2 linked regions of the Mytilus edulis genome follow. The protein of the gene in region 2 interacts with the protein of the main gene of each other region in a pairwise test. Links are inferred from orthologs where the notes say so. Each region holds a gene or a part of one and is shown on either strand. Other genes may lie near its edges.

What was found.
Region 1: the proteins of peroxisome assembly protein 12-like (region 2) and peroxisome assembly protein 10-B-like interact in a two-hybrid assay, tested with the Homo sapiens proteins (4 studies listed by BioGRID, with this or other methods). The link is inferred for Mytilus edulis from reciprocal best matches to the Homo sapiens genes PEX12 and PEX10.

The regions. Positions count from the first base shown.
Region 1 is NC_092345.1:104,804,283-104,811,290, reverse strand, and holds the start of peroxisome assembly protein 10-B-like, read left to right. Parts: upstream 1-3,974; 5' UTR 3,975-4,004; coding exon 4,005-4,113; intron 4,114-6,788; coding exon 6,789-6,869; intron 6,870-7,008. Other genes in the region: serine/threonine-protein kinase OSR1-like, read right to left, coding at 3,853-3,940.
Region 2 is NC_092349.1:85,761,683-85,768,825, forward strand, and holds the start of peroxisome assembly protein 12-like, read left to right. Parts: upstream 1-4,103; 5' UTR 4,104-4,253; coding exon 4,254-4,376; intron 4,377-5,640; coding exon 5,641-5,749; intron 5,750-6,213; coding exon 6,214-6,329; intron 6,330-7,084; coding exon 7,085-7,143. Other genes in the region: uncharacterized protein, read left to right, coding at 163-3,093. UniProt on the Homo sapiens protein: Component of a retrotranslocation channel required for peroxisome organization by mediating export of the PEX5 receptor from peroxisomes to the cytosol, thereby promoting PEX5 recycling.

The sequences.
Region 1 (7,008 bases), on a different chromosome or scaffold from region 2:
CTAAGTATAAAGCTAAGCTTTATTACAACTGTCACCTTAACTTAACATTAACCAAGATAACTAAACAAAGACCAATGAACCTTGAAAATGAGGTCAAGGTCAAATGAACCATGCCAGGCAGACATGTACAGCTAACATTTAGTTATTCTTCTATACAACATATATAGTTGACCTATTACTTATAGTTTAAGACAAGAGTGCACACACTGAAATGTCTCGCCTTCTTTACTAATCATTGATATTATGTTGATACTCCTAAATATAAAGCTTTATTATGACTGTCACATAAACTTAACATGAATCATGAAAATGAGGTCAAGATCAGTTGAACCATATGCCAGGCAGACATGTACAGCTAACAATGCTTCCATACAACAAACATGACAAATATAGTTGAGCCTATTGCTTATAGTTTAAGAAAATAGACCAAAACACAAAAACTTAACACTGAGCAATGAACCGTGAAAACCAGGTCAAGGTCAAATAAAACCTGCGCGACTGACATATAGATCATAAAATATTTCCATACACCAAATATAGTTGACCTATGACATATAGTATTAGATAAAAAGACCAAAACTCAAAAACTTAACTTTGACCACTGAACCATGAAAATGAGGTCAAGGTCAAATGACATCTGCCCGCTAGACAATTACACCTTACAATCATTCCAACCAACAAATATAGTAAACCTATTGCATAAAGTATGAGAAAAACAGACCAAAACACAAAAACTTAACTATAACCACTGAACCATGAAAATGAGGTCAAGGTCAGATGACATCTGCCCGCTAGACATGTACACCTTACAATCATTCCAAACAACAAATATAGTAAGCCTATTGCATAAAGTATGAGAAAATCAGACCAAAACACAAAAACTTTACTATAACCACTGAACCATGAAAATGAGGTCAAGGTCAGATGACACCTACCAGTTGGACATGTACACCTTACAGTCCTTCCATACATCGAATATACTAGACCTATTGCTTATAGTATCTGAGATATGGACTTGACCACCAAAACTTAACCTTGTTCACTGATCCATGAAATGAGGTCGAGGTTAAGTGAAAACTGTCCAACGGGCATGAGGACCTTGCAAGGTACGCACATATGAAATATAGTTATCCTATTACTTACTGTAAGAGAGAATTTAACATTACAAAAAATCTTAACTTTTTTTTCAAGTGGTCACTGAACCATGAAAATGAGGTCAAGGACAATGGACATTTGACTGACGGAAACTTCGTAACATGAGGCATCTATATACAAAATATGAAGCATCCAGGTCTTCCACCTTCTAAAATATATAGCTTTTAAGAAGTGAGCTAACACCGCCGCCGCCGCCGGATCACTATCCCTATGTCGAGCTTTCTGCAACAAAAGTTGCAGGCTCGACAAAAAATAGACCAAAACACAAAAGCTTAACACTGTGCAATGAACCGGAAAATGAGGTCACGGTCAAATAAAACCTGCACGACTGACATAAAGATCATAAAATATTTTCATACATCAAATATAGTTGAGCTATGGCATATTGTATGAGAAAAACAGACCAAAACAAAAAATTTTTAACTATAACCACTGAACCATGAAAATGAGGTCAAGGTCAGATGACACCTGCCAGTTGGACATGTACACCTTACAGTCCTTCCATACACCGAATATACTAGCCCTATTGCTTATAGTATCTGAGATATGGACTTGACCACCAAAACTTAACCTTGTTCACTGATCCATGAAATGAGGTCGAGGTCAAGTGAAAACTGTCTGACAGACATGAGGACCTTGCAAGGTACGCACATATCAAATCTAGTTATCCTATTACTTATAATAAGAGAGAATTTAACATTACAAAAAATCTGAACTTTTTTTTCAAGTTGTCACTGAACCATGAAAATGAGGTCAAGGACATTGGACATGTGACTGACGGAAACTCGTAACATGAGGCATCTATATACAAAGTATGAAGCATCCAGGTCTTCTACCTTCTAAAATATAAAGCTTTTGAGAAGTTAGCTAATGCTGCCGCCACATCACTATCCCTATGTCGAGCTTTCTGCAACAAAAGTTGCAGGCTCGACAAAAATGGGGTGTATCCATTTATTTACCAATAAAGTATAATTCTAGTTAGTGACCTTTTGTAGAAGTTGTTTTTGTCAGTCAGAAATGTTTTAGCTAGGTGTAATACTTAATGATGATGTTCTACATCAAACTAGCAGTTGAACGATAAAAACAGCACTTTTAGTCTCAAGAATAATTCCAATGAAAATATAATTTGCTCAAATCTCACACATTAAAAAAATTAGGGACAGCTCAAAGTTCATGACAAAGTTCATGACATTTTCTGATTTTTTTTGCACAATAAAACTTTGTAACTACATGACTGTGTATGAGCATATCAGATGATATTCTTTTTAAAAAATATCTTGTGCAGGGATGCTTTCCCATACCTTGAAGATATATAACTGCCCAAAATCATGCTCTACATTTACAAAATTAGCATCCCAACATCAAAACCTACTGTTAGAAGAAATGATACCTAGGATGGGGAAGTGATAAATTTAAATGCATCCCCTTTAATACACCTTATCGCTATTTGTCCGCCATTACTGGACTTTGGACATCACACAGGTTCCCATAAAATTTGATGTCATAATACAAAATACCTGACGCCACAATGGAAAAGTGATTGTTGTAAGACCTCAATAGTTCAAGCGGGACAGATTCTTGGGTCAGCTGGGAATAGCGATAAGGTGAATACCATCTTACTGTTAATTGGTATAGGGTATGTTCCGCCTAATGACATGTTCGCCCTGTGTCCATTTGCCCTGAGTTCGTTCGCCCATAGAGTCTGTTCGCCCTATTTTAAAATATCAATATTCAGGGCATTGAATTTGAATAAACTTATTCAGATATTTCTATGGTATATATTCTTATAAATTTAAACGTTTATGGCTTGTTTAAGATCATTAATTGTTCAATGACTAATAATAAAAACAAACATTTTGTTTTGATAAAATATTCAGCTTGAAATCAATAAAAACAATTTTGTACGAACTGTAAATCATGAAACAGATTTTGAAGTTCATTTATTATAATACTCTGGGACTAGTTTCATTTGAACTGCATACATTCGTGATTGACTGAATACAATTATTTTGCTAACAAATATCAATAAAGATATATTAATACATAATGTATTCCAAGTATTCTACTCTGTAAATCAAAGGGAAAATATTAAAATAGATTGCGGCAATATAAATATTTTGTCAATTTTTCAACAAACTTTAAACATATTTTGTTAAAATATTTAAAATTATGCGACTAGACAACAATTAGAGAAAATAAAAATCAGGGCGAATGGGCTCTAGGCGAACAGGTATCAGGGCAAACAGGTGCGAGGACGAACGCGAATCAGGGCAAACAGACCCGGATTCCTGTTGGTTAACTGGTAGTATATACTGAGTGCCAGGTCTCCCAGGATCGGTTCCACACTGATTCAGTACTTAATTTTGGAAGACAATCTCTCTGGTAATATTTAGTTAAAGGGTTAGGGAAATGCCTACACTATCACTATCAGCAGGAACAAGCATAATATTAATTTAAGTATTCCTGGAAGACCATATTGAAAAAATATTTTTTTATATATATTAAAATATGTGCCCTATAAAAGCAGAATAGATAATAACACACAGTCACTGTCGTTGATTAAAACATTCAATGATGAGCATAAAAACATGTTTACTGTTAAAAAATGTAGGTCAGTTGAAAAAAGGGGGGTAGGAGATTATATGTCAGAGCGGACGTTATCATTTACAAAACAGAATTTTGTAAAATTTCATGTACCAATGACATCCTTTAGCTCGTAATCGTCTTTTGTATTAGGCCATGGAGCCTTTTCCTCAGTTGCCTGGACTGTGGGTTTGTCTGCCATGATCAAGATTGACCTTGACCTAACAACTAGGGGAGATAACGTCTCAAACCGGAAATGAATTACGATGTTCAAGAAAAGTGGACATGCAGAAATAATACGATCTCATCAAAAAGACGAATTTTACATCGGATATTTAAAGTCTCAAATTACAGATATATCCCAAGCATTACTTGGTACGTCATACGGCTAGCTGACATTCATTAGATTTCCAAATATCCTGATCTTTTGGTCATGATGTTAGAACCACAGGAGTTTAAAAATTATCCTAAAAAATACCAAACTCGACTATCACAGTAGAGCTTCTCTCGAAGCTTCAAACTCCTGTGGTAGGAATAGGAGTATTGAACGCCTTTGGCTATTTAATAATAATAAGTAAATCTACACTTTAAGCTTATAGAATAGAATAGAATCATTGAGAATAGAACAGAATATTTTTATTTCCCAAATTACAGGGCCCATAAAGGGCATAAAATCAGATACAATTGATTTACATAATTGGTAACAACAACAATAGATTGTACAGTTTTATTGACCAGTTACTCGCAATCAATATATTGTAACTGCAGAGCCCGTATCTACTCTACAAATTCATATCGTTACCACCGGGATTCGAACACCAGTCGTCTGGGTGGCAGTCAGTGTGTTAACCCACTGAGCCAAATAATCGATTCCCTAGCTCAGTTGATTAAGACTGGCTATATATGTTCTACCTGTACTAAGGGGACGCAACCCTGCTACACTATTCCCCCACCACAATAGTCGTCATATCTTTATATGACTCTTAACAACACAAACCCTGGCTATACTCCAGATTACCATCATTGATTTTTTTTAGTCGGGCGCTAAATGTAACCGGAGAGCATGTATCTACTCTACAAATTCATATCGTCACCACTGGGATTCGAATCCCGGTTGTCTGCGTGACAGTCAGTGCGTTAATCCACTGAGCCAAAGAATCGATTCCATAGCTCAGTTGATTAAGACTGGCTATATATGTTCTACCTGTACTAAGGCAAAGCAACCCCGCTACAATGTACACTGTTAATATCCAAATAACACTGTTAATATCCAAATAACACTTGTAATGACCAAATAACACTTGGAATTTAAATATTAGCAAATATTCATTGATATTGGTGACTTTGAAAACATTGGTTATTAAATATTAGTATATTATCGATGTATTTTATAGCAATTTTGCTTTATACTTGCATGGAAGAGGGTCGTATAAACATGATAAATAGAGTACCTTCTTGACGAATTATGGTACTAATTCTCGCCAAATGATGTTAACAGTACATTTTGGTACATGTCAGACGATGAAATGTACAGGGTTTTTTTTAGACATTAAAGAATTTGACTGATTTTGACAATTCTGCTATTTTTTTTACCAAAATAATGTTGACTTTTATTATTTGAGACATCTGACAAATCACTGTAAGGATACATGTATTTTGACGAATCATAATAAAAAAAAAATTTGACACTAACGGAAGCCAAAAATAACCGTTTGACGACTGACAGTGAGGGGCATTCCTACCCTGGTGGAAATTGGTTTCATTGGGGTCTTTTGAAGCTAATGCCTGATTGGCTAGGGTTTTTATTGCATGTGTGCACGACGAAAGTCAAATTATTCAAAATGAAAATGGGAAACCAAGTTAAGCGGGACACGTGAAATTACAAGCATTATCATTACGATATGATAAGCAGGATACAGGAATCTAACAAAACAATAAGCTGGATCCGGGATCAGACTAATGTTGATTTAAAATTTAATATAAAAGTACATGTACCTGTTGGTCTCACTAATTAGCATAAAGAAGCAACAAGAAGAAATAAATTAGCAACAAGGGAAAAACAAGTTACAACAGAAAGACAAATTAATAGCAACAAAAAGTTTAAATACTATTAAATTGTTTAGTAAAAGTCAATTGATTTCAGTTTATTATTTGCTGTTTTATCATGTTTATAAAGTTTATAAAGTTTGATGTTTTGCTATATTTAGTACCACTATGTACTTTGTCATTGTAATCAGTCATGTCAGTAGTCAAATGGAAGTTTACCTGAAACTACTGTCTCTGCAAATTCCATCAATATATGTTTATAAAAAAATTGTTCTTAATATCATTTAGAAATGTAAGCTATTTGAAATAATTTGTCAAGTTGAATAGTCCATTTGCCAATTACCAGTGGCGGATCCAGAAATTATCATAAGTGGGGGCCCACTGACTGACCTAAGAGGGGGCCCGCTCCAGTCACACTTCAGTGATTCCCTATATAAGCAACCAATTTTTTTCCCAAAAAGGGGTGGGCCCCCCCCCCCTAAATCCGCCTCTGATTACCGTTATTGACCCTGTATTTAGAGATCCCTATTTAAGTAGTCTCCCTTATGAGGGACATCAATTTTTATTTACAATGCGAGCTAGCAGAAAGAGCAAATTTACCTGTGCGAAATGTGAGTAATCTTTAAGGTTTTAAAATCTTTTATTTAAATTAAGCTAAATACTTTTGACATCAGAAATTATTTTTCATGAAAAGTTAGTTAAACCGCCGATACATCTCTTTCAATTCATCATGCTTTGCATTGGCAACAGCCAATTTGTCCGGTATAGAACTAGTCTACAAGTGACAAAGGGAGTTTATTCGTTTAAAAAGTGTGTAATAACAGAATCAAATCGGTAATTGGAAAATGGACTATTGATTACAGATTTATTTATTCAAAGTACATCTTCTTATATCTATATACAAAGATTATGTTTGGATTTCAAGTTAAGACATTTCAGCCTTTGATATGATAATGTTGTTGACTGTCTAGAGTTTTGGTTGCATACTTTTTTATATCTTCTAGGACCAAGAAATTGGATTAAATGGCGGAAAGAACTTGATTTGTTTGCAGATCTTGGTTACTTTACCCTTACAACTTTTGCAGGTAACTTAAAACTAATGTTGATTTTTTTGGCTGAATATTGTATAAGAAACATCTTTTGTTAACTGATAATATTCACATTAAACATCAGACATTCTGTTTGTCATTCATCATGCTCATGTTATATGTTAAAGTTGCTATG
Region 2 (7,143 bases):
GACCATATTTACCAGTCATTTGCTGACATCATAAATGCAACACAAAAAGAAATGATCCCATATAAAGAAATTAAACCAAGAAAACACCAAAAGCCATGCTGGTGGAGTAGCTCAGTAACATCTGCCAAAAAACACCTAAATCACTGCCAGAAACAATACAGAATGAGGAACATTCCACAAAACAAACAAAGACTCATCATTGCAGAATACAACTTTGACAAGGCAAAGGAAGATGCACAAGAAGAATGGAGTAATAACCTCGTAAACCAACTAAATCAGGCTAAAAACTCAAAAGACTTCTGGAACACGTACAAAAAGATGTCCAGGAAAACAGAAGATAACTCAGTACTCCCATTAATTGTTGAAAATAAAGATCCAATATTTGACAACAAAAGTAAAGTTGAACTTCTACAAAAAATTTTCTTTGGAGGTAGCCACCTAAAGGATGAGTCATTTGATAAAGAATTTTATGATAGTATCAACAAAGAATACAAAGAACTAAATAACATGTATCAGGCAACAAATGAAACAGATCAACATAGAGAAGGCTTTGATAGAGAAATAGACAAAGACGAGGTAGAAGCAGCTATATACCGCCTTCGCACGGGGACTGCCCCAGGACCAGATCAGCAGTTTGCTGAATTCTATAAGCATGCAGGTGACAAATTTACAGAAGCCTTAGTAACAATGATGAACATCATATGGCAAAAAGGGGAATTACCAACAGAATGGAAAATGGCAGATGTAAAATTTCTAAGAAAACCAGGAAAAACCAGCTATTACTCATCCTCTTCTTACAGACCAATCAGCCTAACTTGCATTATATGCAAACTAATGGAGAGAGTCATCCTAGAACGCATTGTGGCATATATTGAGGGTCACAGATTGATTGATTTAACTCAAGAAGGGTTCAGAAAGAATCACTCAACCACCAATGCTCTACTTCGGTTAGTCCAAACAATAGCTGATGGTTACAATGAGGATGAATCAACTCTTGCATGGCTAGTGGACCTTGAAAAGGCATATGACTCAATATGGCGTGAGGGGTTAATGATCAAGCTGCATAAACTTGGGATAAAGGGAAAAACCTGGTTATGGATAAACAGCTTTCTCACAAATCGAACAGCCAGATGTATGCTGAATAACTTCTTTGGAGAACAATTTGATACCAAAATCGGCTTGCCACAAGGGTCAGTACTATCACCCACCTTGTTTAACATATTCATAGCTGATATAATGGATAACACAAAAGGAGAAAATTGCAAGTTTGCAGATGATGGCACTCTATGGCATAAGGGGAAAGACATAAAGGAAATGAAAGAAAGAACTTCAGAGGATGTCAAAACTATTTTAAAATGGACAGAAAAATGGAGAATTAATGTAAACCTGGAAAAGTGTGAAGTATGCCTATTCTCAAAAGGCAACACAGATGCAGAGCAGAAAACATTAAAAGTCAACTCCTTCTCCTATAGATATAGTCCAACACCGAAGCTACTTGGAGTAACTCTAGACGAGAAGCTTAAATTTGACACCCACATCAATCTGATGCAGAAGAGGGCAAATAATGCAATATATGTAATTAGAGATATTAAGGGCATGGGAGGAATATCAAGATCAAAACTACTCCAAATATACAACAGCATGGTTAGATCTATCATGGAGTATGCATGCCCAGTCTGGCAAATAACATCTGCAGAGAATATGAAGAAATTAGAAGCTGTACAAAGAAAAGGCTTGTCAATATGCCTAGGACTACCAGGAACATCAGGTAGAGAGGCAATGGAAGTTGAAGCCAATATACAACCCATAGACCTCAGAATAGAGGAAATATCAGTACGTGAACTGGCAAAAATACAATCAAAGAACATAGCAGAACCAATTAAACAACAACTAGAACAGTATTTAACAAACAACGCAACCTATGAACAACAGGATTCTCCATTTGGTAAAGCTATAAACCAATCCATAGACATGTTCAAAGCCACGAAAGTTGACATCAAACTTATAGAACCAGAATTCACATACAAAGCTGGTGTAGATGTCATGCTAAGGAGATCACCAAGTTATTGGAGTCGTCTAGGTAGCTCAAAGAACAGAACAGCCGAACAAACTGTTGAAAGTAAACAGGTTGTAAAGGACCTATTAGGAGACAGCACAGACTCAACAGTAGTGGCATTCACTGATGGTTCATGTCAAGGTAACCCGGGACCATGTGGGGCAGGAGCAGTAGTATATTCTGGAAATAGCCAAGGCATAAGTCTAAAGAGGCCAGTAGCTAATAGAGGATCGATACTTCTTGCTGAACTAGTAGCCATACTAATGGTCCTGGAGCACTGTATAACGACTATAAAGGACCAGTTTTCTGAGCTTAAAATACTGTCAGATAGCCAGACTGCTGTAGGCATCTTGACTCTGAACTGGAAATCTTCTAACTACATCGACACAATTACTGATATCAAAGAATGCATGGGAACGTTCTTAAGACACGGCATACTAACAACCCTATCTTGGATCCCAGGCCATGCTAATATAGCCGGGAACGAGATAGCGGACCAGTTGGCAAAAGACGCTGCAAAAGAGGCCTCATCACTAAATGATCAGTATAATGTCATAACCATGTCAGATGTAAGATGTGCAGTCAAGATGTCTACAAAACTCAAATGGCAAAGCAGATGGACAATTAGTGAAACTGGAAGACAGCTTTTCAACCTAATTCCTATCGTTGGTAAGGACGCACAACTAGACAAGCCTAACAACCAAATAGGAAGAATATTGTCAGAAATAAGAACGGGCTACAGCAGACTTAACAAATACAGAAACCAAATCGGTCAATCCCTCACGCCATATTGTGAATGCGGAGAAGAAGAAACATCAGAACACTTCCTGCTATACTGCCCAAGATACCAACAAGAAAGAGAGGACATGCGAAGACAAATGGAACTACTTAACATCGATCCAACAAATATACAGTCAATACTAGCACCACCAAAAAGAGAAACCTACGAAGCAACATCGCAAATTGTAGGGGAATATATTACAAAATCAGGGAGATTCCAAGAACTTGCAATCCCTGATTCCCGATCCTGCGCCTAACAAGTATACCAAAGTACCGCGAGATATTACCTCGAGCAACGGTGTACCATAAGAGGAGGAAGATAGCACACAGAGAACAGTAGTGTCAATTATTGACCTTAGGATCAGGATCAGGAACGTTACCTGATGACAGCGTTTCTTTGTTTACATTGAATATGACGTCATAAATTAAATAACATCACACTTAAAATCCCTAACTACAGAACCAAAATCGGAAACGTTACGGTATTTCTGTTTCTCTTTTTAACATGTTTGATTTAAAAAAAATAACCATACAGACTTCGTCCCCATTCACAGGTAATGCCTGCCTCATATTACGAATTATTAGACACTATAAATGTTTAATTCAAAAAGAACACAGAGGTATTGAATCATAATAAGTAATATCTGTATCCATATTTCTCTCATTTTTACGATTTCTAATGGATTTGGCCTTTGCCGGCTTTGGGGGTGTGTCATGGTCTATTCCCAATGTATTTAATTCATTTTTTTCAATTCCACTATCACTTTGTAATGAAATTGGTGTTCACATATTAAAGTTTAACAAATATCTCATCAAACAATGATATATTTATGGATCTTAAGTGAAATTATAACATATTTTGAGCATTTTACCTGCCAAATATATTTATGTTGATGACAAGCCGGAAGTGACAGTGGAAGACTGAGAGCAGCAAGATAACATGAGATTGTTCTTTAAGAGCACTTTATGAAATACGACTAATTAATTGGAAAGATTTTAAAATACAACGCACTCAAACGTTATAAATGAAAACATAATATATTGAATTTTAAAGAATAATATCAACGAAAAATACAAAACATATGTACACAAATTTTTAAAGTTAATTTTTAGGTATGTTTTTTTTTCATGTGAGCATTTTGACCTTTTGGATCATTTTTAATTAAGTTCATTGTTGTGCGTTGTTGTTATTGATTTTATTTTTGTGTATTTAGTTATACTTCTAAAGACTCTAAACAGAAATAATCTGGCTAGACTCTAATAACCTAAAAGCTATTTATGACCATGACCTTTCTCAAAGTCCATGCTCCATACAAAACAAACTACAAATTTGCTTAAAGTTTCTTGATATTTATTGAAAAAAAAAGGGAGCTTAAAATACAAATACTTATTTAAGTTAATAGATCCCTGAAAAACAATGGCCGAAAGTGCAACGCACTTGACATCTGCTATATTCACTTCAAAACCGTCTATTTTTGAAGTTCTTGCCCAGGACAGTCTTATGAGCACAATAAGACCTGCTCTTAAACATGCCATAAAGGCAAGGAATAGTATAGATTTTCACATTGGGTTTAATTGAATGATACTCTTAGCTTAACTACAGATTTTGAATCTCAATACATGTACACCTTATCACTTATCCCGGCTGACCTGGCCGCTTGAACTTTTGACGTCATACACAATCACTTTTCCATTGTGGCGTGAGATATTTTGTTTTACGAAGTCAAAATTTATAGGGAACCTGTGTGATATCCAGAAATGACCGACAAATAGTGATAAGGTGTATAGGTGCAATTAGAGTCTTGAGAGCTAATTCTGTATTCTCCAGTACTGTTAACGAACGACTTAAAGTATCTACAATATATGTGTAAAAGAAGCAATTCCTTTAAGTCGTCTGTTAACATTACTTGAGAATTAAAAATGTTTTTTCTCGCAAGAATCATGCTCTCAAGACTCTGATTACACCTATTGAGATTCAAAATCTGTAGTTAATCAAGTTTAAGAATTGTCGTCTCCTTTTTTCTGAAAAAAAACTATGTCAATTCTTTCCCTCAGTTGAATTAAACAAAACTAATTTGTATAAATGAAATAAATAAACTTAACGGAAGTTAAGCATCACAATTGTCATGATTGTATGGTTTAGGTTCCAAAATCAAATTGAATATCTACATGTACCATCAATTCTAACTAAAAATAAATTCAAAATTTAAATATTTTGACATGGTTTAAGGCCATGAAGGCTACATTTGGTTTCCGATGGATTATTGTCTCATTAACAATCATTCCACTTCATATTTTTATATGTTTTTAAGAATTTAATCCAACAATAAAAGCAATATAAGCATACACATTTTTTATATCCAGATCTGATAGACTCGTGGAGGAAGTTATTGCCCCTAAAAGACATTTTTTTTGTGTTTTTGCAATTTCACAGTCTGATTCAGCCCAAAACACTGTACATTACCGCTGCATGCTGAAATAATCATGAGGGAAGCTGACATATATACTTAGTTAATTTAGCAATCAATAAAATGTTAATCAATACTGTAACAATAATTTTTAACAAATTTATTTTTAATGCTCAATTGCGCCCTGTGAAATTCTTTCCACTGACAATATTTATGTTTTTAATGAAGTATCTGTCTTATGCTTTGATCATGTCTTGAAATTATTTCATAGTTATTCATGTCCCCCTTGAGAACATGTTTTCTTTATACTGTATATATAATAATGAAATTATGTATCCTGTCAAAGAATAGACAAAGTTTCATTTACTTATTATTCATATATATTTGTCTTTTTAGGTTTTAGCAGAGACAAAGCCAGATAAATTTGCATGGATGCTGAGATTTTACGATGAAATATACACAATACTTGATCTAATTCTACAGAATTATTATTTACGTTCATACAGTAAGTCAAATAATTACTTTATTTTTGGATAAGTGGCACAATAATTGATGTAAAAAAAATATGAGAATTTTGTTTTCCTAAACTAAACCCATATATCCATACTTAATTAGATGACACAGTCAAGTCTGAACTTAAAAAATGAATTCAATTATATATATGTTATAAAAATTCTGCCAAAATAACACATAATTTCATATATATATATATATTAACTGTATACTTTTAAATGAAAGCTACTGCAAATATATGGTAAAGTATATATATCCATAACACCAACAAAACCTGCACTGAGACTAACTTTCATTTCAGCCATCATGTTCACAAGTCTTGAAACATTTAAATTAACGTAAAACTACTTTACTTTTTATTAAACATAGAGTTGACCATAGAATTTTATATTCATTCGCTTTAACAGCTATAACCCTATAACCCACATATGATTGTGTCTTCTAATTCTATTTCAGGTGGATCTTTTGCTGAAAACTTTTATGGTATTAAAAGAGTTGATTGTCAGAAGGATCAAAAACAGGAAGATACAAAACTTTCAAAACGTTGTCTAATTAAATCTATCTTATGCTTGGTAAGATTTTGTTGACAGTTAAAATAGGAAATATGTTTTTGTTAACTGTCATTTAAAGTAAAGATGTCATGGTTTTAAGTGTACAAAGAATTCTGTCTAATGGCTTTGTGTAAAATTTTGGATAGTAAGCATTAGATAATGATAATTTATAATACATTGCTTAAATGTGAGCTTTTTGTCATATGGTGCATGAAGTCAAGTTAATCTCATGTAAGATGAAATTACCTGAAAATCATTATCATGATTATGTACCCACAGAATTCTTTGTTCATGTAGGCATGATATTGCTTTAATATCAGAAACTATTGAGAACAATACAAATATGTTTCTGCCTTCCAGTAAAAAGCCTTATGAAATGAATAAGAATCAATTGATCTTTTTGTATTTGGATATCAGTCCAGTATTTATTTTGAAAATGGGAGATAACTCTATAATAAAAAAAGGCAGTTCTGAGTCAAGAATAGCAGACAATGTTTTGTGATGGAAACAGTATGAATAGTAGCTGCTCTTGCCACAACATAACACATATATCTTGACTTGGCTTTTAACCACTACCTTTTAGGAAAACAAGTTGCTTTAGACTACATTCCACCACATGAACAAAATTAATTAAACTTTGTGTACTTAGATGAGTAAGGTCTGCATGATTTTTTTTCTCTTTTTGAATTGTTATTATTTTTTGACAAGTTAGATATAAGATATACAAGTATCAGTATTTTAATGAAAATATTGCAATAATAACTCACTCTTTGTAGGTCATTTTGCCATATATAAAACATAAGTTGGACTTCATTTTTGAAGAATTGAGACACAA